4 linked regions of the Stegostoma tigrinum genome follow. The protein of the gene in region 3 purifies or fractionates together with the protein of the main gene of each other region. This does not show direct contact. Links are inferred from orthologs where the notes say so. Each region holds a gene or a part of one and is shown on either strand. Other genes may lie near its edges.

Region 1 (7,250 bases), on a different chromosome or scaffold from region 3:
ATGTTATATAAAGAACCCGGTTTTCTTTATTAGAATACAGGAATACACCATTTTAAGAAATAAATATGCCCCAGGAAACCACTACTTAAATTGAAGCTACTTAGATGAAAGTAGATTTTATCACCTAAATGTATCACATATGAGGAGATGCTTTTACAATCCAAGACAAATGCCTTCATTATAAACATTAAAAACAAAACAATATAGTTAACTTTCTACACTAGCAGTCATGTGACAAACAAACAATCAGAACAAATTTTGCTTTTCCCGATCACTATGTCCATGACGCTTCAGGGATTACCTACTCTGACATGTACAACCGATCTGGACATTGATCTCCATTAATGGACAGCTTCGCAACCATTGTCTCCTTTCTGCAATGCTGATGACCACTCTCCAGATGAACAGATTGCTGACCAGGGCTGTCTTGCTCACAATGTTCTGTTTCACCATCATATTGGAAGTCCAAGAAATTTGTAATTTGGAAGTGATCAAGGCTGGAGCTGTCAGGCACCTTGTCAACCTCCTGTGGCTCTGATCTCCAAGAAATTGTACATCACTGTCTAAAGAGGCTTTAACCATTCCTCTACTAGCACTGTTACTACAATGGACCATGAAAGCAAGCATTAGGTACAGCAAATAGTTAGGAAAGTAAATGGCATGCTGTCCTTCATTGCAAGGTAGGCTTAGTGTGGCTGTAAAGCACCTTCGTGAGACATCACTTACAATAGTGTGTGCAGTTCTGGTGGCCTCATTTAAGGAAATTTACAATTGCCAGACAGGGAATACGGTTAAAGGTCACCAGACTGATTGCTGAGATACAAAGTTTGTCATACGAGAAGAGATTGGGTTTAGAAGAATAAGACTGAATCTCAGTGAAGTGTGTAACATTATGACAAAGCGGGGTTCCTACAACAATGGCACATGGTTTTCAGATACAGATTAAGGATTTTTGGGCTGAAAGCAGAAAAATGACTTCAAGAAGTGGTAAACATATACCATTCTCTATCATGTAACACTGTGAAAGTGAAGTTGCTAAGTAATTTAAAAAAGAAACAGATAAGTTACCAGACACAGGCATTAAAGGGTATGGGGAGGGAGCACAAGGGAATGACATTAAAAAAGGATCAGTCATGGTCATTTCAGACAATATACTTTTGGTCTAATTTCAATGCATAACCCTCAGTCCAGATCCATTCTAAGGTATCTTGATCATCAAGGTCAGGGACAAAGAAAACCAAAGCCCAAGTTGTTTCATTCAGCTGGATACTATGAAAACAGTCAAGTTTTACACTCATTCTCAACTATTTCATAACAAGGCATTAAATATGTGGAACCAATAGCTAGATGGTAATTTAACGGCTTAATAACACTACTCAAGAGTGTATGGATGAACAAGGAACAAACAAATTACTGTGAATTTTAACATGTTAAAACTTGCATATTTCAAAATACAGGCCATGTTATCATTTAAAAAGATCACGAAATACATTTTATCATTTGGTCCTAAATTAACTGGTTCTCCCACTTTAATAAGTTATATCCGACCAGCAAGTTGAAAACTATTTTAATGAGTGTGTACTAACTGTGGCTTATAAACCCATAGTTAAATCAGACACCCATGAATGACTAATGTTGTATATAACAAATATGTTTAGGGAGGGGTTTCTGCTGTGACAAACCTAATTTAACCAAAGCAAATAACTTACACAAGTCTTAAATAGATGGGTACACCAAAATCAGTAAACATCATACAACAATCCACAAGAACAGAACCAGTTTTTCCAGAAACAGTTATGCATTCCAACTTTTAGAAGTCCATGTCAGGAACGTACACTTGTAACTTCAGAAATTTTCAGCAGTAAAAATCACTCATTTTGCATCAATATGAGGCACAATGACACGAAGGTACCTAACCTGAAAGCCAGATTTTTGACAGACTTGAATAATTCACACAATCCGTTGAAATGCAGAATTGAGGGATTGCTGCATTACTCAAGGTACTGTCTTTTAAATAAAAGATATAACCAAACTGCTTCTATTATCCAACATGTGGATGTAAAAGACAGAGGGGCAGGGAACTCTTTGGCATAATGACATTCAATCCCTGCATCGACAACAACAAATATTAATTGGTCACTTATTTCAATATGCCATTACAGAGGATTTGTTCTGCACAAATGGATAGGTACGGAGTGGAAACTTGAGTGGAGAAATTAGCAAGTGGGATTAAAATTCATAGCCTAGCTGGAGATTAGCAACCAAAGGTGAGAATGGAGAATGGGGTGACATAACGGTTAGTGAAAATAGGATAGGATGAGGTGGAGGTGGGATAGGGATATGAGGAGGAGTCAGGGTGGGTTGGGGATAGCGTGTGAGATGGCAATAGATTTGAATGGGGCAAGGGAATTTGTGGGACTGGGGGGCTGCTGCAGGGGAGGAGAGCGAAAATGGGAAGCGACAGTTGAGAGAACGCGGGCGAGGGCTGATGTTGGTAGGAGGTGGAGAGGCAATGGAGGTGGAGTAATCGTGGATTGAGGAGTATGGAGGATGTGGAAGGGGTGAAGTTGGGGGGGGGGGGGGGGTACAGACCCTTTCCGGAGACAGGGACTCCAGTAGCTCGCAATCAAAACCGGGCCAAGGCGTCACTCACCTGCTCTCCAGTCGGGACTCGGTCGTCTCCTCACATCCACATCACTTTAACAACTCTTCTGGCAGCCGAGTGGAGAGGACGGAGTGGCTCCACCAAATGATCCGATCAGCTCGGCGCTAGGCCCGACTCACAGGTCCTCCGTTATCATCATCATCATCATCACCTCATTCCCGAGCCAGATCCACACGAAACAAACAGCTAGAACCGAACTTAAACCTCCCAAACACAAGATCCGTATTCCAAATCTAAACCATACTCACAGCAGCGCCGACTATCTTAAAGATGCAAAGCTTTCACTACAAGATGGCGGCTCCTCAGGGAGCAGAGACCGCCTCCGCCTTTGCCCCGCCCTTCCACCATCGGCCCGCCCATATGGCCCCACCTCTTCCACCAGCTGCACCGCACGCACGGCTCCGCCCCCTCCACCGTCGGCCCCGCCTCCTCGGCCCGCCCTCATGATCACGCCCCTTCAACACCAACCCAGCCTCGGCTTCGCCTCGACCGCGGCCCCGCCCCTCCATCTTACGTCCTGCGTCACTCCACCCCCACTGCTCATGGCACTTCCGCCTCTATCCACTCGCCCAATATCCCATTCGTGGACCTGCAAACCCGCCCAGACACGCCCCTTAACTAATGTCTCCAGTTGTGATCCCGCCCCACCAGCTTCGGATCCGGTCCGCACCGCACCCTGTCCCCTACAACGACGAACTGCTGGATGTTTCACATTTTGCCGTTGTTGTTCTTTTGTTAATTAAACAGGTTGGATGAGGAGGTGGGAGTTATAGTGATGAGGAATGCAAAGATGAATGTTTGAAATTTGACTTGTTAGTGAACAGAGAATCAGTGTAGAGAACGAGTGATAGGCGAATGTTGAAGATAAGTTCACGTTGAAGAAGTTTGAAGGCCAGTGAGGACAGTTTTGCAATAGTCACGCCACTGGGTCTGGTTCTGAAGGATGTGGGAATAAATGAGACAGACAAGGGTTGAGCAGCTTCCTTTCGAACCATAATTCCGTAACTCTGGCATTCTGTCTTGGGATATTTGTGTGTTGAAGGATGCTGGGCAACCTATTTTCTGATGAAAACAGATATTACTGGAAAAACTCAGCAGGTCCATTTTGGAGACAAATCAGAGTTAAAATTTCATGTCGCGTGACCCTTCGTCAGAACCTATTCTCTTTTCCATCTGAGTGTAAGAGGACATCTGGCTGTTTTCACAGTACTTTTAATTTTACAGTTGAAGATTGTAAAATAATAACAAATCATGCTGGAGATCTGAAACAAAGAGAAATTGTTGGAGAAATAAAGCAGGTCTAGCAGCAGCTGTGGAAAGAAAGCAGAGTTAACATTTTGAGTTTGGTGACTCTTCATCAGAAACGGTAGCACCTAGAAAATCTGGTATTTATCCAGAATCTGGGTGAAGGGGTCTGGGTAAGGGGAGCGGTGAATGGATAGTTGGACACAGAGCCCAGAGGGAGTGAGACAAATATGAAAGAGATAGGTAAATGAGGAGATTATTGATAGCAGGCGAGAACAGAAGAAAACCTGAATAAGGGATAATGAATAGCTAAGAATGAGAAAATGGGTGAGCTGTTCTGAGTGCAACACATATATGACAATAGGCCCAGAAGTACGTGAGAATGAGTGACTTGTGCTAAAAGTAAACTATATCATAACAGAACTGGATATGGAGCATGTCATAAACAATGAAGATGGAATCATGCTCTCTGAAGTTATCAAATTCACTGTTGGATCCTAGAGACTGCAGGATCCCAAAGTGAAAAATAAGATGTTGTTCTTTGAGTTTGCTTTGAGGCTTGCTGGGACCTGCAGCAGGCCTGCAATAGAAACATTGGTGTGGGGCATAGAGGTTTGTTGAAGAGGCAGGCAGCTGGAAACTCTCCTGTGGAATGTGGCATCATCAGAGCAAATGTGAAGAAAGAAAAAGAAACTGGGAAAATGAGATGGAGCCATTACAGGAAACGGGGTGTGAGGATGTATAATTGAAGTAACTGTGGAAGTTGGTGGGTTTGTAACAGATATTGGTGGCCAGCCTATACCCAGAAATGGGAACTGAGATGTCAAGAAAGGGAAGAGATGAATCAAAGATGGAAGGGATGAAAGTGAGGACAGGGTGGAAATTGGAAGCAGAATTGATACATTTTTCTAATTCCAGATAAGAGGGGGAAACAGCACCGATGATGTCAACTATGTACCAGAGAAAAAGTTATGGGTGGGGGCCAGAGTAGGAATGTTCCATGTACCCCACAAACAGATAGGCATAACTGGGACCCATAGCCACATCTTTAATCTGAAGAAAGTGACAGGAGTCAAAGGAGGAGTTGTTCAAAACGAAGATGAACTGTGCCAGACAAATGAGGATGGTGGTGGATGGAGACGGTTCAGGCCATCTTTCCAGGAAGTTGTGGAGAACCTTGAGACCATCATGATGGGGAAATAGGCATTAAGTGGATACATGTCCGTGGTGAAGAGGAAGTGGCTGGAGCCTGTGAACTGGAAATTTTGAAACTGATGTAAAACATCACAAGAATTGTGGATGTAGGTGGGGAAGGACTGAACAGAAAAAATTAAAAATCAGGAAGAGGTTCTTAATGTAACTTTATGCAATTTATTGTGTAATAGCAATCAGGTAGTTAGCCATTGCTATTCAGACAATTGGGATACATTGATGATAAATCTGCCTCCTTCCAAATCAGAGCTGTTCTCCCAATTTCCCTATCCAGGACTCCAGACCATCATCAGGTTGTGTGTAGCTAATGCAGCCATCTTTAACCCTTTTAGAACATTTACCTTAGACAATTGCAAATGCTTTGAACCTTAATAGATCTGGGACCAAAGTTCTACAAAGTGTTTTGCTAATGCTTTGGCACAGGCTTTAAACTGATTTGACCAGGGGAATGGGAATGAGGATGTAAGGTTAGGAAGGATAAACAAAGGTGCACAAATTGGTAGGAGCAGATGACATAACATTAAGAAGTAATATTAGAAGTCATAATAATAAAGTCTTAGGTCAGGTCAAGATATAATAAAATACATTTTAAATCTGGCCTTGTCTGATGTTGGATGTTCTTGCTGTAGTTCAGTGAAGGTTAATCAGGCTGATTCCATGCATGGCGAGACTGATGTAACAGGAGAGGTTGAATAAATTTGGATTATATTTGCTGGAATTCAGAAGAATGATTGACTATTTCATAGAAACCTATAAAATGCTAACAGGACTTTACAGGGTAGATGCAGGAAGGATGTTGTTGATGGTGGGGATCCCTAAACCAGTAGTCACAGTCTAATGATGTGAGTTAGGTCTGAGAAGAGAAGATATTTCTTCACACAGCAAGTGATGAGCCTGTGGAATTTACAATCTCCAAAAGCAGTGGAGGCCAAAACAATGTGTGTTATAAAAGTGCCAGAAGTATTAAAAGGCATAGCTCTAGCACTGAGAAGGTCAAGACTAGCAAACAGATGGAGACAACGCCATCTGCAAGTTCCTCCTCCAAGGTCTAACTTGGAACCATATCTCTGGGCCAAAAATCCTGTACTTGTTTCCAGCAGCACTCTGGATGTATTTATACTACATCACGACAGCAATTCAAGAATATAGCTCATTTCTGCTTTCTGAAGATCAGTTAGCAATGGGTAGCAGATGCTGCCTTTGTTGACACTACCCACATCCCATGAGAGAATTAAAACAATTAAAACATCCAAGTGGGGCGATGGAACAGGGTTGAACGTAGACAAATGAAAGACAACCTTGTTGGAACATTTAAGATTCTCAGGCAATGATCAGGGTAGATATGGAAAGGTTGCATCCTCTTGTGGGCGAGTCTAGAACTAGCGGGCCTAGTCTCAGAGTAAGGGATTGTCCATATAAGATAGAGATGAGGAATGTCTTCTGTCAGAGGGCAGTAAATCTGTGGAATTCTTTACGACTGAAGACTGTTAGGGCTGAGTCATTAATCATATTCAAGACTGAGATAGACATTTCTAATCAATGAGGGAATCAAGAGTTATGGAGAAATGCCAGGAAAGTGGAATTGATGATTATTAGATCAGGCACAATCTCATTGAAGGGTGGAGTAGCGTAGCCTCGTTGAGCTGAATGGCGTACATCTGCTCCTATGACTTGTATTCTTATGGAGACCTGAGGCTATACATGCACAAAATCAGTGAAGTTGGTAAGACAGATTAAGAGAGTAGAAAAAAAAGTATTTATGAGTTTCTGTGCTTTGTAAATAGAGGCATATAGAGTACAAGAGCAAGAAAAAGATATGATCTTTTGTAAAATTTTGGGTTGACTTCAATTGGACTTGCGTCCAATTCTGGACACTGCAACTTAGAAAGGATGTGAAAACTTCAAAAGAATGATTTCAGGATTACAATTAGTTTGGAGCTTAAAGAAGAAATTTCACAGAAATGTTCAAAGGGTTGATCATCTGGTATGAATGGAGAGAAACCCCTGCCACTGGCGTCAGGTTGACAATCCAAAGTTACTGAAATTAGGTGAGTGGTAAGAAAAGAAACAACATGAAAAAAAAATCTTCGTTAGCAGCAAGTAGTTAGAATTTAGTATTTATTGGTTA
Region 2 (7,103 bases), on a different chromosome or scaffold from region 3:
TTAATCGTGAGCCTCACCCTCTTCTACTGACCCCTTCCCCTGCCTCCAACACACCCCCTCTTCCTGGATATCACCCCAAGGCCTCCTATCCTCCCTCAACCTCTTCGTCTCCAACTCCTGTCGAGACATCAATCGCCTCAACCTCTCCATCTCTCTCACCCTGTCCAACCTCTCCCCGACAGAATGCACAGCCCTCCACTCCAATCCCAACCCCACCATAAAACCCACAAACAAGAGAGGCGCAGTTGTAGTATGGCGCACTGATCGCTACATCGCCGAGGCCAGACACCAGCTCTCTGACACCTCCTCCTACCGCCACCTTGATCATGACCCCACCCCCCGACTACCAAAACACCATCTCCCAAACCATCCACAACCTTATCACTTCAGGTGACCTCCCACCCACAGCCTCCAACCTCATTATTCCCCAACCCCGCAGCGCCCATTTCTATCTCCTTCCTAAAATCCACAAACCTGACTGCCCTGGTCAATCATTGTCTTCTCCTGCTCCTGCCCCACCAAACTTATCTCAACTCTATTTTCTATCCTGTGGTCCAGAAACACCCCACCTATGTCCTTGACACCACCCATGCCCTCAACCTCCTCCAAAACTTCCAATTCCCCAGTCTCCAACACCTCATTTTAACATGGGCGTACAGTCCCTATACACTTGCATTCCCCATGCAGATGGCCTAAAGGCTCTCTGCTTCTTTCCCTCCCACAGGCCCAACTAGTCCCCCTCCACTGACACCCTCATCCACTTAGCTGAATTCATCGTCAACAACTTCTTTTTCAATTCCTCCCACTTCCTACAGACAAAGGGGGTGGCCATGGGTACCTGCCTCTTTGTAGGTTACATGGAACAATCCCTCTTCCATAGCTACACTGGCCCTAAGCCCCACTACTTCCTCCGTTACATTGATGACTGTATTAGTGCTGCTTCATGCTCCCACGGAGGAGCTCGAACAGTTCATCGATTTGACCAACACCTTCCACCCCAACCTTAAGTTCACCTGGGCCATCTCTCCCTCCTTCCTGGACCTCTCTGTTTCCCTCTCTGGCAAACACCTGGCAACAGATATCCATTTCAAGTGCACCGACTCCCACAGCTACCTGGAATACACCTCCTCCCACCCACCTTCCAGCAAAAATGCCATTTCCTATTCCCAATTCTTTTGCGTCCACCACATCTGCTCTGAGAATGAGGCATACTACTCCCGAACATCTCAGATGTCCTCATTTTTCAAGGACCGCAACTTTGCACCCCGCCCCAACCAATGGTTGAGAACACCCTTGGCTATGTCTCCCACATTTCCCGCAACGCATCCCTCACATTCCCCCACACCCCACCCCACAACAACAACCAAAACAGAATCCCCCTCGTCCTCATGTATCTCCTCCAACCTCTGGATCCAAAGTATCATTGTCCGACACTTCCGCCATCTGCAAGCTGACCCCACCACCAAAGACATTTTTCCATGCCCACCCTTATCTGCCTTCTGGAGGGACCACTCTCCCCGTGACTCACTTGTCCATGCCACACACCCCTCCAGCGCCACCACACCCAGTATTTTTCTCTGCAACCGCAGGAAGTGCTACAACTCCCCCCTCACTTCCATCCCAGGCCTCAAGAAGACTTTCCACATGCATGTTCACCTGCACATCTGCTAATGTGGTATACTGTATCTGCTGTTCCAGATGAGGCCTCCTCTGCATCGGGGAAACCAAGCAGAGGTCTGGGGACTGCTTTGCAGAACACCTACACTTGGTCCACAATAAACAACTGCACCTCCCAGTCGTGAACCATTTTAACACCCCCTCCCACTCCTTAGATATATCCATCCTGGGCCTCCTGCAGTGCCACAACAATGCTACCCAAATGTTGCAGGAACAGCACCTCATATTTCACTTAGGAACCCTGCAGCCCAATAGTATCAATGTGGGCTTCACAAGCTTCAAAATCTCCTCTCTACCTATGGCATACCAAAACCAGCCCAGCTTGTCTCCACCTCCCTAATCAGTCCTTTCTCCCACCTATCCTGGGACACTACTCGTCCCACCTCAAGCCCCAACCCCATCTCCTACGTACTAACTTCATCCCACCTCCTTGAACAGTCCGTCCTCCCTGGACTGACCTATGTTCTGGGTGTGAGTTTGCTCGCTGAGCTGGAAGATTAGTTTTCAGACGTTTCGTCACCATTCTAAGTAACATCATCAGTGAGCCTCCGACGAAGCCTATGTTCTCCCTAACTCGCCACCTCCAATCACCTTTACTGGCTCCATCCCCGAATCCCTGACTTGTCTGTTTCCTTGCCCACCTATTTTCTCCTCCATCCATCTTCTCTCCGCCTCCCCCTCTCTCCCTATTTATTTCAGAATCCCCTTCTTCTCCTCCCCTTCTGGAGGAGGATCTAGGCCCGAAACGTCAGCTTTCCTGCTCTTCCGCTGCTGCTCGGCCTGCTGTGTTCATCCATCTCTACACGTTGTTATCCCCTCAGTAAGTATTTACTAAGGTTCTTTAGGCAGTAGCATCCACACCAACGACTACCATCGATCCCCTCTCCCCTAGCCCCATACCCGTTTTCCTCGTACCCACTGCCGTCTCATCAGGTCCTGCCCCGTCTCTCCCCGCCTCCCACAGGCCACGCCCCCAACATCCCCCCCCCCCTACCCAAACCCCAGCAGATACGACGCCCACCCTCCACCCGAGCCCCAATTCTCCCGTGGGCCCAGACGCACCGATCAGCCGCCGCGTCTCCTCCACGCTCAGGTAGACGTTGACCCCGGGGCCGCCTCGACACACGGTGTCCGAGCAGCAGCTCCACAGCACCAGCAAGGCCCGCCAGAAGTTCATGGATGCGCCCCGGCCAGCAGCGGCGGTGGTACCCGCCATTGCTGAGCGGCGTTTTCCTGATTCTGTGTTCGTTACGGGCTGTTACACGCGCCGGGGATCGACCAACCGCCTCTCCGTTCCTCCATGGCCGCGTCCAACACGGCGCGCATGCGCCAGGGCCGGATCCGTTTACTGAGCATGCGCACTCGCTGGCCCTGGCAGGCAGTTGGCATGTTGGTTCGTCCCTGGTTTGATAGGTTGTCTCTGAACAAAAGATGTCTGTGCAGGTAGGAACCACCAAAGTACTGGTTTGAAGGGATTTTCCCCAAATAACAGCGGGTAGGGGAAAGGCGTGAAGCGTGAAGTCAGACATGCGTGCAATAAGGGTTAAATTTGTTCGGGTAATTTTACATCTCCAATACCTAACTTACAAACCTGCCAGAAGAAAAGTATTGAAGCCTGAGCATTGGGAACGTTTTATACTTCATCAAAATGAGAACAGAGAGGTCGACAGCACAGAATATGACAATAACGCTACAAGGAAAATAAAATGAGTAAAATTGCGGATGATGTGAAAGTTTCTTTTAATGTGTGAAGAACCAACAGATTCGTAAAGACAAACATAGGTCCTCAGAAGGCAGCAGCTGGTCAAATTACAGTAGAGCAGAAAGAAATATAAGAATTGAACTTGTACTTCAAGTCTGTTTTCATGGAAGGAGGCATAAATAACTTCCTAGAAATGTTAGGGGATCAGGGTCTAGCGAGAGGATAGAATTGAAGTATATCGTTATTAGAAAGACAATGATGCTGGGGAAGTGAATGGTGTTAAAGGGTGACAAATCACCATGGCCCAATGATCTATCATTCACTGACTCCATCTATACATCTACCAAAAACCCCAACCACCCATTTAAACTCTCTTGCACTATCTTCTGTTGGGCAGGAGATATTGAAATTTGAATAAGCATATAAACAGATTCAAGTACAACTTGTTCCTGCTGTTATCAGATTTTTGATGGTCCCCTCAAGTGTTGATTCTGAGCTCATTCTCTCTCCACCTCCTCTGTGGTTGTAATACTGTCTTCTGCAATCTGTCTGCCTTCCAGGTGCACTTTCTATGGTATGGACTGCAAAAGAGCATTTTTCACTGTATCTTGATACATGTGACAACAATACATTGAATAATAAACTCCAGAATACAAAAGGAAGTGGCCCTGGAAACATTAGATGCATGCTGGTTAGCTTTCAAATTCTATAGATTTTGGAACAGTCCCTACAGATTGAAGAGTGGTAAATGTCGCCACTGCAAAAATGGATGGAGAGAAAACACAGGGAATTATAGACCAGGGAGCCCGACATCAGTAGTGGGCAACACACTATGGTCCATTATCAAAGATTTTAAAGCAGAACATTTAGAAAACAATAATTGATCAGACACAGTCAGCATGGATTTACAAAAAGGAAATTGTGCTTCGCAAATCTAAAAAAATTTCTCCAGGATACAACTAGTAGAATGGATAAAGGACAGACTGTGCATGTGGTGGTTTTGGATTTTTTGGAAGGCTTTTGATAAGGACCAATGTAAGAGATTAAAGGGGAAAATCAAAGCACATGAGATTGGGAGTATTGGGGACAGGAATACACAAGGATAACAGAGATAGCAAGTCAAAATAAATCAGCCCTATAATCACTGGATATGCAATAGAGTGAAATTAAAATATTCAGTGACCCTCAAAATACCCAATTGTTCCTAAACAGACTTTGTGAAGATCAGATCTAGGACACCAAGATTGTAACTTAAAAATTAACAGTTTATAATTAGTACTGTAACTTTTTACAGAACAATACTAAACAACAATGTAATCTAATGAATATCCATGATTTAAACACAACTTTTTTTGTTTATAATCAACAGTCTCACACCACCTGGCAGACTGACAGACAGAATTAACAGATAAATTGAAAAGAAAGCAAAAATTATAATTTTCCACTTCAGTTTGAAATCTCACAACACCAGGATATAGCCCAACAGGTTTATTTGAAAACGTGCTTTTTGAGCCTCACTCCTCCTTTAGGTGTTAGTAAAAGAGGTAGTATTACACACAGAATTTATAAGTAAAAGATCAAAGTGTCTGACCTTGTCCACTCCAGTCCAACACTAGCATCTCCACATCACCACTTCAGTTAACCAGTTTCAAACAATAGACATCAAGCCTTCATGCAATCCCTGGACAAGGAGTTATTCACGGGTGTGTGACTACAGGTCTAATTTCAAGATAATTGGTTAATATTAGCAGTTTCAGTAGACTTCCTAATTGTTTACTTTTTTCCTCGCAGACTGTGATTCTTTTGTCTGAATATTCAACAATTCTTTAGATTAGATTCCCTACAGTGTGGAAACAGACCCTTCGTCCCAACAAGTCCACACTGCCTCTTGGCGCATCCCACCCAGACCCCAACCCCTGATAACCCACACACTCTGAACACTATGGGCAACTTAGCATGGCCAATCCACCTAGCCTGCACATCTTTGGACTGTGGGAGGAAACTGGAGCACCTGGAGAAAACCCACGCGGACATGGGGAGAATGTACGAACTCCGCACAGACAGTTGCCCAAGGCTGGGATTGAAACCAGGTCCCTGGCGCTGAGAGGCTACAGTGCTAACCACTGTGCCGCCCCAATTTAACTGGATGCAGAATAGTACAGAAGCTTCCAAAATCACTCTGCACCTCACAAAACCAAACAGAACTAGTTTTCTTTTTTTCCTTTTTGGATCAATTATCTCTTTGGGTGCTGATTAGATTCGGTTCTCTTTTGATTGACCAATTCAACATCTGACTAGCTGCCAGCCCTCGGCATAGCAATGCTTGCTGCCAAATCATCTACAGTATTCCTTACATCCACAATTAGAGTCATAGAGCTGTACAGCACAGAAACAGACCCTGCTGTCCAACTCGTCTATGCTGAAAAGATATTTTAAATAAATCTAGGCCCATTTGCCCACGTTTGGCCCATATTGTCGAAACACTTCCTGTTCATGCACCCACACAGATGCCTTTTAAATGTTTTAATTCTACCAGCCTCCGCCATTTCCTCTGGAAGCTCATTCCAGACATCACGACCTTCTGCATGAAAAAGTTGTCCCTCAGGTCCCTTTTAAATATTTCCCCTCTCACCTTAAACCTATGCCCTCTAGTTTTGGATTCTTCTCCCTGGGGAAAAAGCCTGGTCTATTTATTCTATCCATGCCCCTCATGACTTTATAAACCTCTGTAACGCCATCCCTCAGCCTCTGACACTGCAGAGAAAATAGCATAAGCCTATTCAGCTTCTCCCTGTCGCTCAAATCCTTTAAAAACAAAGTTGTTGGAAAAACTCAGCAGGTCTGGCAGCATCAATGAAGGAAAGAAACAGAGTTAACAGTTCGGGTCAATGGACACGAAACGTTAACCCTGTTTTTTCCTTCACAGGTGCTGCCTGACCTGCTGAGCTTTTCCAGCAACTTTGTTTTTGTTCCTGATTTGCAGCATCCACAGTTTTATTTTTGGTTCTCAAACCCTTCAACCCTGGCAACATCCTTGTAATTCTGTCTGAACCTTTGCAAGTTTCAGAACATTTTTCCGAAAGCAGGGAGACCAAAATTGCGCTCAGTTTTCCAAAAGTGGCCTAACCAATGTCCTGTACAGCTGCAACAGGACTTACCAACTCCTTTACTCAATGCACTAACCAATGAATGAAAGCATATCAAACTTCTTCTTCACTATGCTATCAATCTGTGATTGCACTTTCAAGGAACTATGAACCCACACTCCGAGGTTTCTTTGTTCAGCAACACTCCCCAGGACCTACACATTAAGTGCATAAGTTATGCCCTGATTTGCCTTTCCAAAATGCACCACCTTACATTAATCTAAATTAAACTCCATCTGCCAATTGTTGGCACATTGGTCCATCTGATCGACCAGGTCAGTTGTCAACAGCAAACACATACGTTTGTTTTTTTTTTCACTAAAACTCACAACAGTTGAAAGTTTAAGAAATCCAAATCTCAGTTCATGTGTGCGCCAAAAAAGAGAAAAATAAAAGAAAAATCACGCAGGTCTCTACAGTAACATCGAGGCATGGATTGAAATTTGATTGACGGGAAACATAGACTGGGAATAAATGGGCCTTTTTCCGAATGGAAGACTAGTGAGGTACAATAATAGTCAGTACTTGAGCCCCAGCTATTAACTTCATATGAAAATGACCTAGATGGGGCTGACAAC
Region 3 (7,872 bases):
TGAGCCGATGGACTGGCTTTTTTTGGGGTGTCTGATCCTATTGTCTTTTGGGGGATTTTGATCCTATAGATTGTTTTTTTTAGAGGGACCTGATCCTAGGGATTGGTTTTAGGGGCTTCTGATCTTATTGACTGGGTTTTTTTGGGGTGGGTGTCTGATTCTATTGATTGTCTTTTCGAGGGGTTCTAATCCAATGGTTTTTTTTAGAGGGATCTGATCTTAGGGACAGGTTTTCGGGTGTTCCGATTCTATTGACTGGTATTTTTTGTGGGGCTTAATGTCAGATCCTATTGATTGTTTTTTGAGGGGATCTGATCCTCTTGACCGGTTCTGGGAGGGTCTTATGCTATGGACTGTTTTGGGGGGGGGGGGTGCGGGGCGGTCTGATCCTGTGGACTTTTTTGCGGGGGTTATATCCTCTGGACTGGTTTATGGGGAGAGTTTGATCCTAGGGACTGGTTTTGTGCGGGGAGGGTTCTGTCCTATGCACTGTTTTTGGGAGGGGGTCAGATCCAATTGACTGCTTTTGGGGGGGGGTATGATCCTAGTGACTGGTTTTTGTGGGGTCTGATCCTATGGACTTTTTTTGGCCGTCTGATCCGAATGACTGGGTTTTGAGGGGGGTTCTGATCCTATGGACCAATTTTTGGAGGGATCCGATCCAACTGACTGGTTTTGTGGGAGTTCTGATTCTCAGGAGAGGTTTTTGGGCGGAGTCTGACCCTATGGACTGGTTTTTAGGGGCGTGTCTGATCCTGTGGACTAGTCTGATTCTAGGTACTGGTCTTGGGGAGTTCTGATCTGAGGGAGTGGTTTTTGTGGGGGGAGAGTCTGATCTTGTGGACTGGCTTTTTGGGGTCGTGTCTGATGCTAGGGACTGGTTTTTGGGAGGGTGGTCTGATCCTAGGGACTGGTTTTTGTTGGGGGGCGGTGTGTCTGATCCTGTGGACTGGTTTTTGGGAGGGTGGTCTGATCCTAGGGACTGGTTTTTGTGGGGGGGGAGTATGTCTGATCCTGTGGACTGGTTTTTGGGAGGGTGGTCTGATCCTAGGGACTGGTTTTTGTGGGGGGGTGTGTCTGATCCTGTGGACTGGTTTTTGGGAGGGTGGTCTGATCCTAGGGACGGGTTTTTGTGAGGGGGGTTCTGGTCCAAGGGACTGGTTTTTGGGAGGGGGGTGTGTGAATCCGAGGGACTGGTTTTTATGAGGGGGATCTGATTCTGAAGGACTTGTTTTTGTCGGGGGTCTGATTCTGAGGGACTGGCTTTTGGGGATGGGGTGTCTGATCCTAGGGACTGGTTTTTGGGAGGGGGTCTGATCCTAGGGACTGGTTTTTAGGAGGGGGGTGTCTGATTCCGAGGGACTGGTTTTTGGAGGGGTCTGATCCGAGGAACTGGTTTTTGGGAGGGGGTGTCTGATCCTAGGGACTGGTTTTTGGGAGGGGTGTCTGATCCGAGGGACTGGTTTTTGGGAGGGAGGGGTCTGATCCGAGAGTCTGGTTTTTGGGAGGGGTGTCTGATCCGTGGGACTGGTTTTTGGGGGGCGTGGTCTGATCTGAGTGACTGGTTTTTGGGAAGGGGGTGTCTGATCCTAGGGACTGGTTTTTGGGAGGAGTGCCTGATCCTAGCGACTGGTTTTTGGAGGTGTTTGATTCCGATGACTAGTTTTTGAGGGGGGAGGTCTGATCCAGTGGTCTGGTTTCTGGGGGGTGTCTGATCCCACGGATAGATTTTTGGAGGTGTCTGATCCGAGGGACTGGTTTTTAGGGGGGGGGTGTCTGATCCAAGGGACTGGTTTTGGTGGGGGGGGGGGTGTCTGATTCTGAGGGACTGATTTTTCGGAGGAGTGTGTCTGATTCCGAGGGACTGGTTTTTGGTGGGTGTCTGATCCGAGGGACTGGTTTTTGGGAGGGGGGTCTGATCCTAGGGACTGGTTTTTGGAGGGGTCTGATCCTAGGGACTGGTTTTTGGGAGGGGGGGTCTGATCCGAGGGAATGGTTTTTGGCAGGGGTGTCTGATCCGTGGGACTGGTTTTTGGGGGTGGCGTCTAATCCTAGGGACTGCTTTTTGGGAGGGCGGTGTCTGATCCTAGGGACTGGTTTTTGGGAGGCGGGGTCTGATCCAAGGGACTGGTTTTTGGGAGGGGGGTTTGATCTGTGGGACTGGTTTTTGGGGGCGGGTCTGATCCTAGGGACTGGTTTTTGGGCGGGGGGTGTCTGATCTTAGGTACTGGTTTTTGGGATGGGGTGTCTGATTCCGAGGGACTGGTTTTTGGGAGGGGGTGTCTGATCCTAGGGACTGGTTTTTGGAGGTGTTTGATCTCGATGACTAGTTTTTGAGGGCGGGGGTCTGATCCTATGGTCTGGTTTCTGGGGGGAGTCTGATCCCACGGATAGATTTTTGGGGCTGTCTGATCCTTGGGACTGGTTTTTTTGGGGTGGTATAATCCTGTGGACTGGTTTTTGCGGTGGGTCTGATCCTAGGGACTCTTTTTTGGGTGGATCTGATCCTGTGGACTGGTTTTGGCGGGGGTGTTTACAATCCTAGTGACTGTTTTTTGTGGGGTCTGATTCTATGGACTTGTTTTTTTGGCCGTCTGATCCGAAGGACTGGGTTTTGAGGGGGTTCTGATCCTATGGACCAATTTTTGGAGGGATCAGATCAAATTGACTGGTTTTGGGGAGTTCTGATTCTCGGGACCGGGTTTTGGGGGGAGTCTGTCCCTATGGACTGGTTTTTAGGGGCGTGTCTGATTCTGTGGACTGGTCTGATTCATCATGGGCCTCCTGCACTGCCACAATGATGCCACCCAAAGGTTGCAGGAACAGCAACTCATATTCCGCCTGGGAACCCTGCAGCCATATGGTATCCATGTGGACTTCACCAGTTTCAAAATCTCCCCTTCCCCTACTGCATCCCTAAACCAGCCCAGTTCATCCCCTCCCCCCACTGCACCACACAACCAGCCCAGCTCTTCCCCCCCACCCACTGCATCCCAAAACCAGTCCAACCTGTCTCTGCCTCCCTAACCGGTTCTTCCTCTCACCCATCCCTTCCTCCCACCCCAAGCCGCACCCCCAGCTACCTACTAACCTCATCCCACCTCCTTGACCTGTCCGTCTTCCCTGGACTGACCTATCCCCTCCCTACCTCCCCACCTACACTCTCTCCACCTATCTTCTTTACTCTCCATCTTCGGTCCGCCTCCCCCTCTCTCCCTATTTATTCCAGTTCCCTCCCCCCATCCCCCTCTCTGATGAAGGGTCTAGGCCCGAAACGTCAGCTTTTGTGCTCCTGAGATGCTGCTTGGCCTGCTGTGTTCATCCAGCCTCACATTTTATTATCTTGGAATCTCCAGCATCTGCAGTTCCCATTATCTCTGATTCTAGGTACTGGTTTTGGGGTGTTCTGATCTGAGGGACTGGTTTTTGTGGGGGGAGTGTCTGATCGTGTGGACTGGGTTTTGGGGGGAAGGGTCCGATCCTAGGGACTGGTTTTTGGGAGGGGTGTCTGATCCAAGGGACTGGTTTTTGTGAGGGGGTGTCTGATCCTAGAGACTGGTTTTTGGGAGTGGGTGTCTGATCCTAGGGACTGGTTTTTGGGAGGGGGGGTCTGATCCGAGGGAATGGTTTTTGGCTGGGGTGTCTGATCCTAGGGACTGCTTTTTGGGAGGGGGGTGTCTGATCCTAGGGACTGGTTTTTGGGAGGAGTGTCTGATCCGAGGGACTGGTTTTTGGGAGGGGCGGTCTGATTCCGAGGGACTAGTTTTTGGGGTGGGGTTGTCTGATCCGTGGGACTGGTTTTTGGGGGGGTGCCTGATCCGAGGGACTGGTTTTTTGGGGGGTTGTCTGATCCGAGCGTATGGTTTAATGGGGCGGGGTCTGATCCAAGGGACTGGTTTTTGTCGGGGGGTGTCTGATTCAGAGGGACTCCGTGTTGGGAGGGGGTCTGATCGTAGGGACTGGGTTTTGGGGGGGTTGTCTGATCCGAGCGACTGGTTTTTGGGGGTGTGCCTGATCCTCGGGACTGGGTTTTGGAGGGGTGTCTTATCCGAGGGACTAGTTTTTGGAGGGGGTGTCTGATCCTAGGGACTGGTTGTAGGGAGGGGGTGTCTGACCCTTGGGACTGGATTTTGGGAGAGGTGTGTCTGATCCTTGGGACTGGCTTTTGGGAGGGGCTGTCTGACCCTTGGGACTGGATTTTGGGAGGGGTGTGTCTGATCCTAGGGACTGGTTTTTGGGGTGGATCTGATCCTGTGGACTGGTCTTTGGAGGTGTTTGATCCCGATGACTAGTTTTTGAGAGGGGGTCTGATCCTGTGGACTGGTTTTTTGGCGGGGGGGGGCTCTGTTCGTAGTGTCTGGTTTTTGGAGGGGGTATAAGCCTGTTGACTGGATTTTGGGCTGGGACTGATCCTGTGGACTGGTTTTTGGAGGTTTTTGAGGGGGGGGTCTGATCCTGTGGTCTGGTTTCTGGGGGGTGTCTGATCCCACGGATAGATTTTTGGGGGTGTCTGATCCTATGGACTGTTTTTGGAGTGGTCTATTCCTGTGGCCAGTTTTTGGGGTGGTCTAATTCCTGTACACTGGATGTTGGTAGGGGTTCCGATCCTGTGGATTGGTTTTTGGGGCGCGACTGATTTTAGGGACTGGATTTTGGGGCGGGATTGATTTTAGGGCGGGACTGATTTTTGGGGCCGGGGTCTGCTCCTGGGCCTGCTGTGTCCACCCAGCCCCACACTTTGTTATCTTGGGTTCTCCAGCATCTGCAGTTCCCATTATCTCTGATCCTCGGGACTGGTTTTGCCGTCCCGACAAGGGAGACGTTGACATCATGGAGCTGGGCGGTGACAGTCGGCGGAAGTGACGTGTGTCCGGAAGTGACGTGTAGAGAGGCGGCCCAGCGAGTGTTCTAGAAGCTGGGCCTGGGACAATTGGAGACGGGGAAACGATGGTGGATTATAGCGTGTGGGACCATATCGAGGTGTCGGATGATGAGGACGACACCCACCCGAACATTGACACGGCCAGCCTGTTCCGCTGGCGGCACCAGGTAAACTCCGGGGCCGGGCACCTCCATTCCCCCCACCACCAGGGCCGGCTTCCATCTATCCCGTCCCCATCACCTTCTTAAACCCCCGGGCCCTGATACACCCCCCATCCTCATCTCCTTCAAATAGTCCCGGATTGACCCCCCCGCCGCTTCGGTAGACTTCGTTCCCCTCTGTCCGACCTCCCAACAGCCTTCCCTCCAGCGGCGACGCCCCACAACCCCCACCACCACCACCAGCCCACCTCCAACCCCCCGACCACCACCTCCTCCCCCCACCACCTCGTCCACCACCCCCCACCACCACTTCCTCGTCCACCACCACCTCCTCGTCCACCCCCACCCTGCCCACACTCCTTTCATTACCTGAAATTCTTGATCCCTCCATTTAGATTTCCACAAGACCTTTGACAAGGTGTTGCACAGGTCTCTGAGTAGGATCCCATGGTGTTAGGGCACGGAAAGGGGATTGGCTCTCCAGGCAGAGTTGGGGGCTCAAGGGCCCTTTTTCAGGATGGCAGCCACTGACTAGTGGACTTCCTCACAGCTCAGTGTTGGGACCGCAGCTATTCATGTCATGCATTAACAAAGAAACTGATGGCATATTTGGTCTTTTTTTTTGTTTATTCATGCTTGGGATGAGATGGGATTTATTGCCCATCCTAATTGTCTAGACACCACTTATGAGTCAACCACATGACTCTGCGTCTCGAGCCACGTATAGATCAGACTGGCTAAGGATGCCAGTTCTTTTCCCTGAAGGACATCACTGAACCAGATGGGTTTTTCTGACACTTGACAATAGTTTCTTGATTTTCATTAGACTCTTAATTACAGATTTTTTTATTGAATTCAAATTCCACATCTACTGTGACAGGATTTAAACCTGGGTCTCCAAGACATTACTTGTGTTTCTGCATTAACAGTCCAGCAATAATACCGCATGGCCATAGTCTATGCTTTTGCACATGATATTAAGATCGATGGAGGCAGATAGTGTTGAGGAGGTGCTGAATCTACAGAAGGACCTGGACCGACTGGATGAGTGTGCACCAAAGTAGCTGGTGAAATGCAACACAAGGAAGAATAGAGAGTCAACTGTGACTTACTCTGCCTTTTTCACATGAGTTGGACGTCTTTAATTGTTAATCATCTGGTGTCACAATTTCCTAACAAGAATGATTTGAAATTGCGGTTTTGGGTTGCTAGCACAATATTTTCTAAATGTCCAAAGGCTTCGGAAATCTGAAGCACAAAGGGACTTGGGCATCCTAGTTCAGGATTCTGTTGACATGCAGGCTCATTTTACAGTTAGGAGGACATATTTGCTTTCGTTTCAAATGAATTGGAATACCAGAGTGCAGATGTGCTGTTGTGTTTGTATAAAGTTCTGGCAAGACCACATCTGGAGTATTGTGAGCAATTCTGGACTTCGTATCCACGGAAGGATGTATTGTCTTGGGAGGCAGTCCAGAGGTGACTGACAGGAGTGACCCCAGGGCTGATGGGCTTGTCGTATGAGCAATGGTTGAGGAGTCTGAGTCTGTACTACATGGATTTCAGAAGGATGAAGGGGGATTCTCATTGAAACTTGGAGAATGTTAAGAGGTCTGGATGGAATGGGTGTAGATAAGATGTTACCACGTAGCAAAGGTGAGGACCTGAGGCTCAAACTCAGAATGAAGGGATAACCCTTTAGAACTGAGACTGGGAAAAATTTCTTCAGCCAGAGGGTGGTGAATCTGTGTAACTTATTGTTGCTGAAAGCTGTTGAGACCTAGTCATTCTTTCTCTTTAAGACAGGTAGATTCTTGATCAGTGAGGGGATCAGGGAAGAAGGCAAGAGAGTGGTATTGAGACATTATCAGCCATGACTGAGTAGTGGAGCAGACACACTGTGCTGAATGGCCTAGTTCTGCTCCAATATCTTTTGCTGAGAGAAACTCTTTTTTTCTTTCTTGTCATTCTGTATTCCCATAAAAAGTTAACACCTTCTAGCATAGCTTGTGGAAGATCATACTGAATCCTGAAATATAACACTCGAATTGTATTGGTCAGCATGACTATTTCTTACTCTGCCTTTTAAAATCAGTTGGGACCATTTTAATAGTTAATTTTCTGGTGTCACAGTTTTTTAGAATGATGAAAATTGTGGTTTTTGGGTTCCTAGCAGAATATTGTAACTTTGTTAGCAGCATACTTTATTTTGTACTTGTTGTATTCTTTCCTCCACAATGTATGTTGAGCAGAAATCCCTCATTCGGCTTCAAAGTGAAGCTATAGATAAGTATGTAGGAATGGTTTGTTTTCTTGGTGTCAAGTCTTGTGTACATTTGTTCCAACTTGAGATGCTTGGTTTATTTAAATCTGGTGAGTCTGAGCGAATAGCTGGTTGAACAAAAGCTTCAGATATGGTGAGGTTGTTGAACACATTCATGTCATGCCGGAACTGATCTGATGTGATGAAGCTGAAAAACAATGACCTTGATGGAGTACAAGGACCATGTTGAACAATCGAATCACAGACTTCAGAAAGGAAGTCTCCTTCTCGTTAGCCTTTTCATTAGGGGGTCTGTTTCCAGACAAAACAGGTGCCACTCCTTTTAACCTTTGGGGAGAGGAGGCTGGAGAGTCTTGAATCTGGGACTTTGATCATTGTACAGCAATATTCACTGGCAAGGTGGCCATGTCACTGAACTAATAATCTAGAGCCCCAGGGTAATATTCTGGGGGCATGGTAGGTGAAGTTTTGAACTTTGGAATTAGAAAGCTAAACTAATAGTAACCATTGTACTGTCAATTGTTGTAAAAAACCCTCTAACTAGT
Region 4 (7,524 bases), on a different chromosome or scaffold from region 3:
CGAAACGTCAGCTTTTGTGCTCCTGAGATGCTGCTGGGCCTGCTGTGTTGATCCAGCCTCACATTTTATTATCTTGGATTCTCCAGCATCTGCAGTTCCCATTATCACTCATTCTTAGATGTAATGCCTTAGAGAAGGCAATTTTTCAGAAGCATTAAGGTTTTGTATTACTGAACAATATCCAATCAGGTGCTGGATCCACTGCTTTTTGTCATTTATACAAGTGACTTGGGTGTGAATATAGGAGGCATGCTAAGTAAGTTTGCAGGTGACACCAAAAATTGGTGGTGAAGTGGACAGTGAAGGTTGCATCAGAATACAACAGAACGTTGTAAGGATGGGCCAAGGAGCAGCAGATGGAGTTTAATCTATATAAATAGAAGGTCCGACATTTTGTTGGAGCTAAACAGGACAGGGCTTACACAGTTAATGGCAAGATCCTAGGGAGTGTTGTCAAAAAACCTTAGAGTAGATTTATGGTTCCTTGAAGATGGAATCACAGGTAGACAGGCTAGCAAAGATGAAATTTGTATGCTTGTCTTCAAAAGTCAGTACACTGAGTATAGGAGATAATGGGAACTGCAGATGCTGGAGATTCCAAGATAATAAAATGTGAGGCTGGGTGAACACAGCAGGCCAAGCAGCATCTCAGGAGCACAAAAGCTGACGTTTCGGGCCTAGACCCTTCATCAGAGAGCTCTGAAGGGTCTAGGCCCGAAACGTCAGCTTTTGTGCTCCTGAGATGCTGCTTGGCCTGCTGTGTTCACCCAGCCTCACATTTTATTATCACTGAGTATAGGAGTTGGGACAGGTTGTGGCTACTTTTGAAATACTATATTCAACTCTGACCTCCTTGATTATAGGAAATGTTGATGAACTTGAAAAGCTTCAGAACAGACTAAAGGATGTTGCCAGGGTTGGAGGGTTTGAGTTACAGGTTGGGGCTGTTTTCCCCTGGTGTGTCAGAGGCCAATGGCTAACGTAATAGCGGTTTCAAAGGTCACAAGGGGTATGGATAGGGTGAATAGTCAAGGTCCCAGGGTAAGGGAGACCAAAACTAGAGGACATAGGTTAAGGCAAAAGGGAAAAGATTTTAAAAAGACAGCTTGTTCCACAGAAGGTGGTCATGTCTGGAACAAACTGCCAGAGGAACTGGAGGAGGCTGGTATAATTGCAACATTTACAAAGATATCTGGATGAATTATGAACAGGAAGGATTGAGGTTCATGGGCCACATGCTGGCAAAATGGGACGAGGTTTATTTGGCATGCATAAGTTGGACCAAAGATCTATTTCCCTGCTGTACATCAATGACTGACTACTAAGTTATTCAACAGTTTATTTCCATCATAACCATTAATTAATATTTCAATTGGCAGCAAAAATACCTTTCCAGCATGTCCTCCTTGGCTTGCAACCCTTTTTTCCATTTGTAATCTAAAATCCTGCAAGTGGAAATTAAAAAGTTATTATACTGTATTAGGCTATTTGTAATATTCTCTCTGGAGGTCAGGTAGCTGAAGGCTTGAATTTCCACTGCAGAACTTAAGCTATCAAAGCACAAGTCACAAAATATGATTTCCTGAATCCAGTAGAAGCAGCTCTGGGTAGCAGCAACCAAACACATACAGTTTCCTAGAGAAGTATTTTCTAGGTCAAAACCCACTGGGTATCTGTCCCAATGAAATAGCCTGAAACAAAACCCTGTGTGCTTAACAGAATTAAAATTTAGATCTATTTATGCACATATTAGCAGTTAACAAAGCCATTTCCTCCCTGTAAGTTTTCTCATTCGTCACATCCATAGACTTGTACTTGGTGGATAGAGATAGCACAAATTAGAAAACAGAAGTGTATAGTGATTCCTGCTGCATTTTATTGCAAGGGCTTGAATAAAAAAAACTACTACTGAAAAAGAAAATCCCACAAAACAGGACCGCCTCACACAAGTTAAAGTCTCAACAGCAGCCGCGTTTCATGCTGTAAATTATCCTCCTAACCCCACCAATCCAGCTGGTCTGTGCTGTAGCAGACATGTTTTTTGGCGATAGGCCAGCATCAGCACCACTAACGACAAAAGTCTGCGCAGTCACTGCATACTAAGAGTTACTCTGCTTTTTCTCCACAGACGCTATCAGGCCTGTAGAGTTTTTCCAAGCAGTTTCTGATTTTGATCCCATACGTTTCTCACGCCAATCTCCACACAAGAGTAAAAAGAGACAAAACTTGTAACTGATTGAAGTTATCATGCAGAGCCATGAGTAATACTAGATGAACGCTAAAACTCAAAGAAACGAATTTGCCACGCAATTAAATTAATCCAGCCTAAGAAAAAAAAGAGATTGCGTCCCACGATGTACCAGCAATATAAACTTCAGCTCAGAGCAAAGCAAGTGAAATTTTCTCGGCACCCATTAATATCTCCGAAGTGCTGCTGCTACTTCTAACAGAGTAGCCAGTATTGATCACTGGCCGAGTTAATATTAAGCCATTAAGAATTTGAAAGGCTAAGTAAATTACACAAATACACCACAATCGAATGCTACGTGGAAAATCCCAGCGGAGGAGTGATATGGCGTCTCGACATTCAGGGAAGACAGGGCTGAGCCCCCACTTTCTCATCCCCCAGCTTGACCTTGACACACAAGTTAGGGCATGATTGAAGGGCAAGGGGCAAGGGCAATGGGGAATATCTCTCCCTCAGATTCAGGGAGATTGGAGCAAAACTGAAGATGGCTACACCAGGGCCCCAAAGGCACAGGAAAGGGTAACCAGATCACGGTTAAGAACACAGACTATAGCGAGGTGGGAGGCCTTTTCCAGCCCCAGCACTGAAGAGGCGACGAACCAAAGTCCTCTCCCCAGGCCCCCAGACTACCCCCTCCTTTACAATCAACCTACCTCCCACTCTCTGCCTATCTCACCGCCCGTTTCACTCTGCTCCTTCTACCGTTTAAATTCAAATCCACCGCACTTTAAGCCCATTTAACAGAGCCCGCGCTTCAATTGGACGACGCCTGCCCGTCGCTCGCTCGCTATTGGCGGTTCTTCAACGGACTGCCGCAGGCCGACGGTTACGTCATCGCGTGCATGCGTACTGTCACGTGATGTGCCGGCGTTCCCTTTCTCCCAGCCTGGAAATTGACACATGCGCAGACGTAGAGGTGTCAGGAATTTGTGATTTGAATGTTACGCAAGGAGGTCATCTAGGCCTTTTTGCCTATAGTTTCCTGTAAAGCTGATGTTTACTTAGTTCTATCGTGTGTTCTTTTCCACCATATTTTAAATATTTATCGTTATCAGTCACATTTTTTAAACTGTTATGGATTTTGCTTCACCCACAGTTTCTGGTAGGCCATCCTCCTTTCCTGCATGAAAACAGAATATCTTAAACGGCCCCTTTCTTTTTCCTAAATATCTATCCTTTATTCAGTACTCAGTAAAAACGTTTTTTTTCGAATTTTTAGCAAGGCTTATGATTTTTAACATTAAATTTGAAAGGAAGAACCAGGAAGTTATTAATTTAGCCCTGAGATAGTAGGAACTGCAGATGCTGGAGAATCCGAAATAACAAGGTGTGGAGCTGGATGAACACAGCAGGCTAAGCAGCATCTTAGGAGCAGCAAAGCTGACGTTTCGGGCCTAGACCCTCCCTGGTGGGATATAAATTATTTTACTGTATTCCTTCTGATAAAGGGTCATGAACCTGAACTCTTTACAAATGACTGCTGAGTATTTAGTTTATTTTTGGCTGTGCATTATGTGTAACACAAGGTTCTTAATTCTGTATCATAATCACATTACCATAGAATCTGAATGTAAAGAACTGATACATAACAGCTTTGCTTTAATTTTGTTTCTCTCCTGCAGTGGAATGTGATGATCTTCTCCTTATCTATTCAAATCATTGCCATTTATAATTGTTACTGGATATATGCTCCCATTGTGAAACAAGGAAACCTGATTATTAGTTGTGTGCCTGGTCTCTTAAATATAACAATAAACCAGCAGAGATATTGCACATGACTTTATTTTGTTATCTTTGCCTTTGTGAAGGATTTTACAGGCTTTCATAAGAAACTGAGACAATTTATAAAAGTAATTAAAAAACTACGCTGGCCCTAGACCCCACCTCTTCCTCCGTAACATTAATGACTGTATCGGCACTGCCTCATGCTCCCACGAGGAGCTCGAACAGTTCATCCACTTCATCAACACCTTCCACCCAACCTCAACTTGACCTGGACTATCTGTAACATCTCCCTCAACTTCCTGGACCTCTCTGTCTCCATCTCCGGCAACCACCTAGAAACTGATATCCATTTCAAGCCCACCGACTCCCACAGCTACCTAGAATACACCTCCTCCCAACCACCTTCCTGTAAAAATACCATCCTCTATTCCCAATTCATTCGTCTCCACCACATTTGTTCCCAGGATGAGGCATTCCACTGCCGTACATCTCAGATGTCCTCGTTTTTCAAGGACTGCAACTTCCCCCCACGCAGTGGTCGAGAACACCCTCGACCATGTCTCCCGCATTTCCCGCACCTCATCCCTCACACCCCGTTCCCGTGATAACCACCAAAAGAGAATCCCCCTCGTCCTGACGTACCACCCCACCAACCTCCTGATCCAACGCATCATCCTCCGACACTTCCGCCATCTACAATCTGACCCCACTGCCAATGACATTTTTCCCTCTCCACCCTTGTCTGCTTTCCAGAAGGACCACTCTCTCCGGGACTCCCTTAACCGCTCCACACTCCCCTCCAACCCCCCCACCACATCCGGCACTTTCCCCTGCAACTGCAGGAAGTGCTACGCTTGCCCCCACACCTCTTCCCTCACCCACATCCCAGGCCCCAAGAAGACTTTCCACATCAAGCAGATGTTCACCCACACATCTGCCAATGTGGTATACTGTACCCATTGTGGCCTCCTCTACATCAGGGAAACCAAGCAGAGGCTTGGGGACTGCTTTGCAGAACACCTATGCTCGGTTCATGATAAACAATTGCACCTCCCAGTCATGAACCATTTCACCTACCCCTCCCATTCCTTAGACGACATGTCTATCCTGGGCCTCCTGCAGTACCGCAACAATGCCACCCGAAGGTTGCAGGAACAGCAACTCATATTCCGCTTGGGAACCCTGCAGCCCAATGGTATCAATGTGGATTTCACTAGCTTCAAAATCTCCTCTCCCCCCACTGCATCCCAAAACCAGCCCAGCCCGTCCCCACCTCCCTAACCTGTTCTTCCTCTCACCTATCCCCTCCTCCCACCTCAAGCCGCACCCCCATTTCCTACCTACTAACCTCATCACGCCCCCTTGACCTGTCCATCCTCCACGGACTGACCACTCCCCTCCCTACCTACGCTCACCTCTACTGGCTCCATCCCCGCCTCTTTAACTTGTCTGTCTCCTCTCCACCTATCTTCTCCTCTATCCAGGGTATTTCAGAACCCTCTCCCCTTCCCCCATTTCTGACGAAGGCTCTAGGCCTGAAACGTCAGATTTTCTGCTCCTAAGATGCTGCCCGGCCTGCTGTGTTCATCCAGCTCTACACTTTGTTAAAAACTGAAGCCTCTATGTGTTCATCTCATCCTTTGCACAATTTGTCGCATTTATGATCTTTCCTTGCAAGGGCGTTCGGGTCATATAGGGTCTGATATGTTGCTAAGTACAGGTTGGTATAATGCCTGATACCAGTGGATTTTGTCAGTGTTTTAGCTGCACTTCAGTGTACCTGAGTGTGGGGGATTGGAACCTAATGTGTGAATATCAGCATCAGAGAATGCATCTCCCTTTGACTATGGGGTTAGTTTACCTTCCCATGGTCTACTGAAACTGCAGCAGGAGGATTGCAGAAACCCAAAGGAAATGGCATTTACATTGCTTGATAACAGAGTGTTGAGCTGGATAAACACAACAGGCCAAGCAGCATCTTAGGAGCACAAAAGCTGACGTTTTGGACCTAGACCCTTCATCAGAAAATGATAGAGAATTCTGTACATTTGCTATCCTCTGAGTGAAAAGATTTCTGACCATCTCAGTCCGATATGGTTTGCCCTATATGCTGGAATTGTGAATGCCTTGGTTGGACATGACCCTCCAACCTCCCCTCATCCCCCACCAATCTTTTTTCTCACCCCCAGTCAGGGAAACCTCATCTCTACATCCAGTCTGTCCAGCCCTGTCAGAATGTTATACATTTCAATGTGATCCTCACTCATTCTTCCAAGCTCCAGTGGATACAGGTCTAGTTAGTTCAGTCTGTCCTCAAAAGACAAAGATGCCATTCCAGGAATCAGTCTGGTGAACCTTTGCTGCACTCCCTGTATGGGAAGTTTTTTTTATGTAAAAAGACCAAAGCTGCGAAGAAGATGCTGAGTGTGGTCTCAACCAACCCATCCATTGCTTATGAGACCTCTCAAAACACCAGCAATTAATCTGAGGTGCATGTACTCACTACCATCAAAAACATTTGGTAATGTGGGTGACATCAATATAGAATATGAAAGGTTTCTAAGTTTTGTTGTTTCATGATGTTTCAATAATTTGTCTTGCAAAGTGACATCTTCACAAAGCCTGCAGAGAATGAAGGGCTGCAGGTGTAACAAGGTAATGGAAGAAACCCTCTGCTGTGAGCTAGAAAAATATGTGCACCTGTCACACAAGAGACTGTCTTAGCTGAACATATATCCTCATTATGTCTACACTTAACACTCATGTCCATATTCTTACCTTTGAACACAATGCATAAAACTATCATTTATTTAACATTTTATTTTAAATCTTCCATGGAATATGGGCATTGCCCATCTTTTATTGCCTATGCCTAATTAAGAAGGTCGTGGTGAGCTGTCTTCTTGAACCACTGTGGTTCATGTGCTGAAAGTAGACCCTTAACAGTACTAGGGAGGGAGTGCCAGGATTTTGAACCAGCGACATTGAAAGAATGACAATATATTTCCAAGTCAGGACGGAGAGCAGCTTGGAGAGAAACTTGGACGTATTGATGCTCCCATTTAACTACTATCCTTGTCCTTCTAAATGCAAGTGGTCGTAGGTTTGGAAGGTGTAGTCTAAGGAGCCTTGGTGAATTTCTGCAGTGCATTTTGGAGGTTGCACATTCTGCTACTACTGAGTATCATTGGTGGAGATAGTGAATGTGGTACCAAATCAAATTTATCCAGGATCATATCAAGCATCTTGAATGTTAATGGAATTGCCCATATCCAGGCAACTGGGAACTGTTCCATCACACTTCTGACTTGTGTCTTTTCAAAGGTATCAGGAGGTAAGACAGTCCCTGCAGGACTCTTAGTGTGTTAATTTGGATAGTCCAGTTAGGTTTCTGGTCACTAGTAACCCCCAGGATATTGATAGTGGGAAATTCATGTTGAAGCCCATTTCCAGACTTAGACACGTACACTCAGCACATCCAGCAACTAGGGTGCAATTGTATTTTTAAATCTTCAAAAAATCCACTCCTACTACTTCCTACCACTGTGTTT

Evidence for each region.
Region 1: the proteins of cdc37 (region 3) and yes1 purify together in Homo sapiens (affinity purification with mass spectrometry; 3 studies listed by BioGRID and IntAct, counting the BioPlex papers as one, with this or other methods). This does not show direct contact. The link is inferred for Stegostoma tigrinum from reciprocal best matches to the Homo sapiens genes CDC37 and YES1.
Region 2: the proteins of cdc37 (region 3) and ryk purify together in Homo sapiens (affinity purification with mass spectrometry; 3 studies listed by BioGRID and IntAct, with this or other methods). This does not show direct contact. The link is inferred for Stegostoma tigrinum from reciprocal best matches to the Homo sapiens genes CDC37 and RYK.
Region 4: the proteins of cdc37 (region 3) and aurora kinase C-like purify together in Homo sapiens (affinity purification with mass spectrometry; 3 studies listed by BioGRID and IntAct, with this or other methods). This does not show direct contact. The link is inferred for Stegostoma tigrinum from reciprocal best matches to the Homo sapiens genes CDC37 and AURKA.

The regions. Positions count from the first base shown.
Region 1 is NC_081358.1:79,796,591-79,803,840, forward strand, and holds the start of yes1 (tyrosine-protein kinase yes), read right to left. Parts: upstream 3,004-7,250; 5' UTR 2,654-3,003; intron 1-2,653. UniProt on the Homo sapiens protein: Non-receptor protein tyrosine kinase that is involved in the regulation of cell growth and survival, apoptosis, cell-cell adhesion, cytoskeleton remodeling, and differentiation.
Region 2 is NC_081367.1:1,145,001-1,152,103, forward strand, and holds the start of ryk (tyrosine-protein kinase RYK), read right to left. Parts: upstream 3,001-7,103; 5' UTR 2,894-3,000; coding exon 2,740-2,893; intron 1-2,739. UniProt on the Homo sapiens protein: May be a coreceptor along with FZD8 of Wnt proteins, such as WNT1, WNT3, WNT3A and WNT5A. Involved in neuron differentiation, axon guidance, corpus callosum establishment and neurite outgrowth.
Region 3 is NC_081388.1:22,687,704-22,695,575, forward strand, and holds the start of cdc37 (hsp90 co-chaperone Cdc37), read left to right. Parts: upstream 1-4,856; 5' UTR 4,857-4,947; coding exon 4,948-5,049; intron 5,050-7,872. UniProt on the Homo sapiens protein: Co-chaperone that binds to numerous kinases and promotes their interaction with the Hsp90 complex, resulting in stabilization and promotion of their activity. Inhibits HSP90AA1 ATPase activity.
Region 4 is NC_081372.1:47,185,465-47,192,988, forward strand, and holds the start of aurora kinase C-like, read right to left. Parts: upstream 3,015-7,524; 5' UTR 2,902-3,014; intron 1,446-2,901; 5' UTR 1,431-1,445; coding exon 1,389-1,430; intron 1-1,388. UniProt on the Homo sapiens protein: Mitotic serine/threonine kinase that contributes to the regulation of cell cycle progression.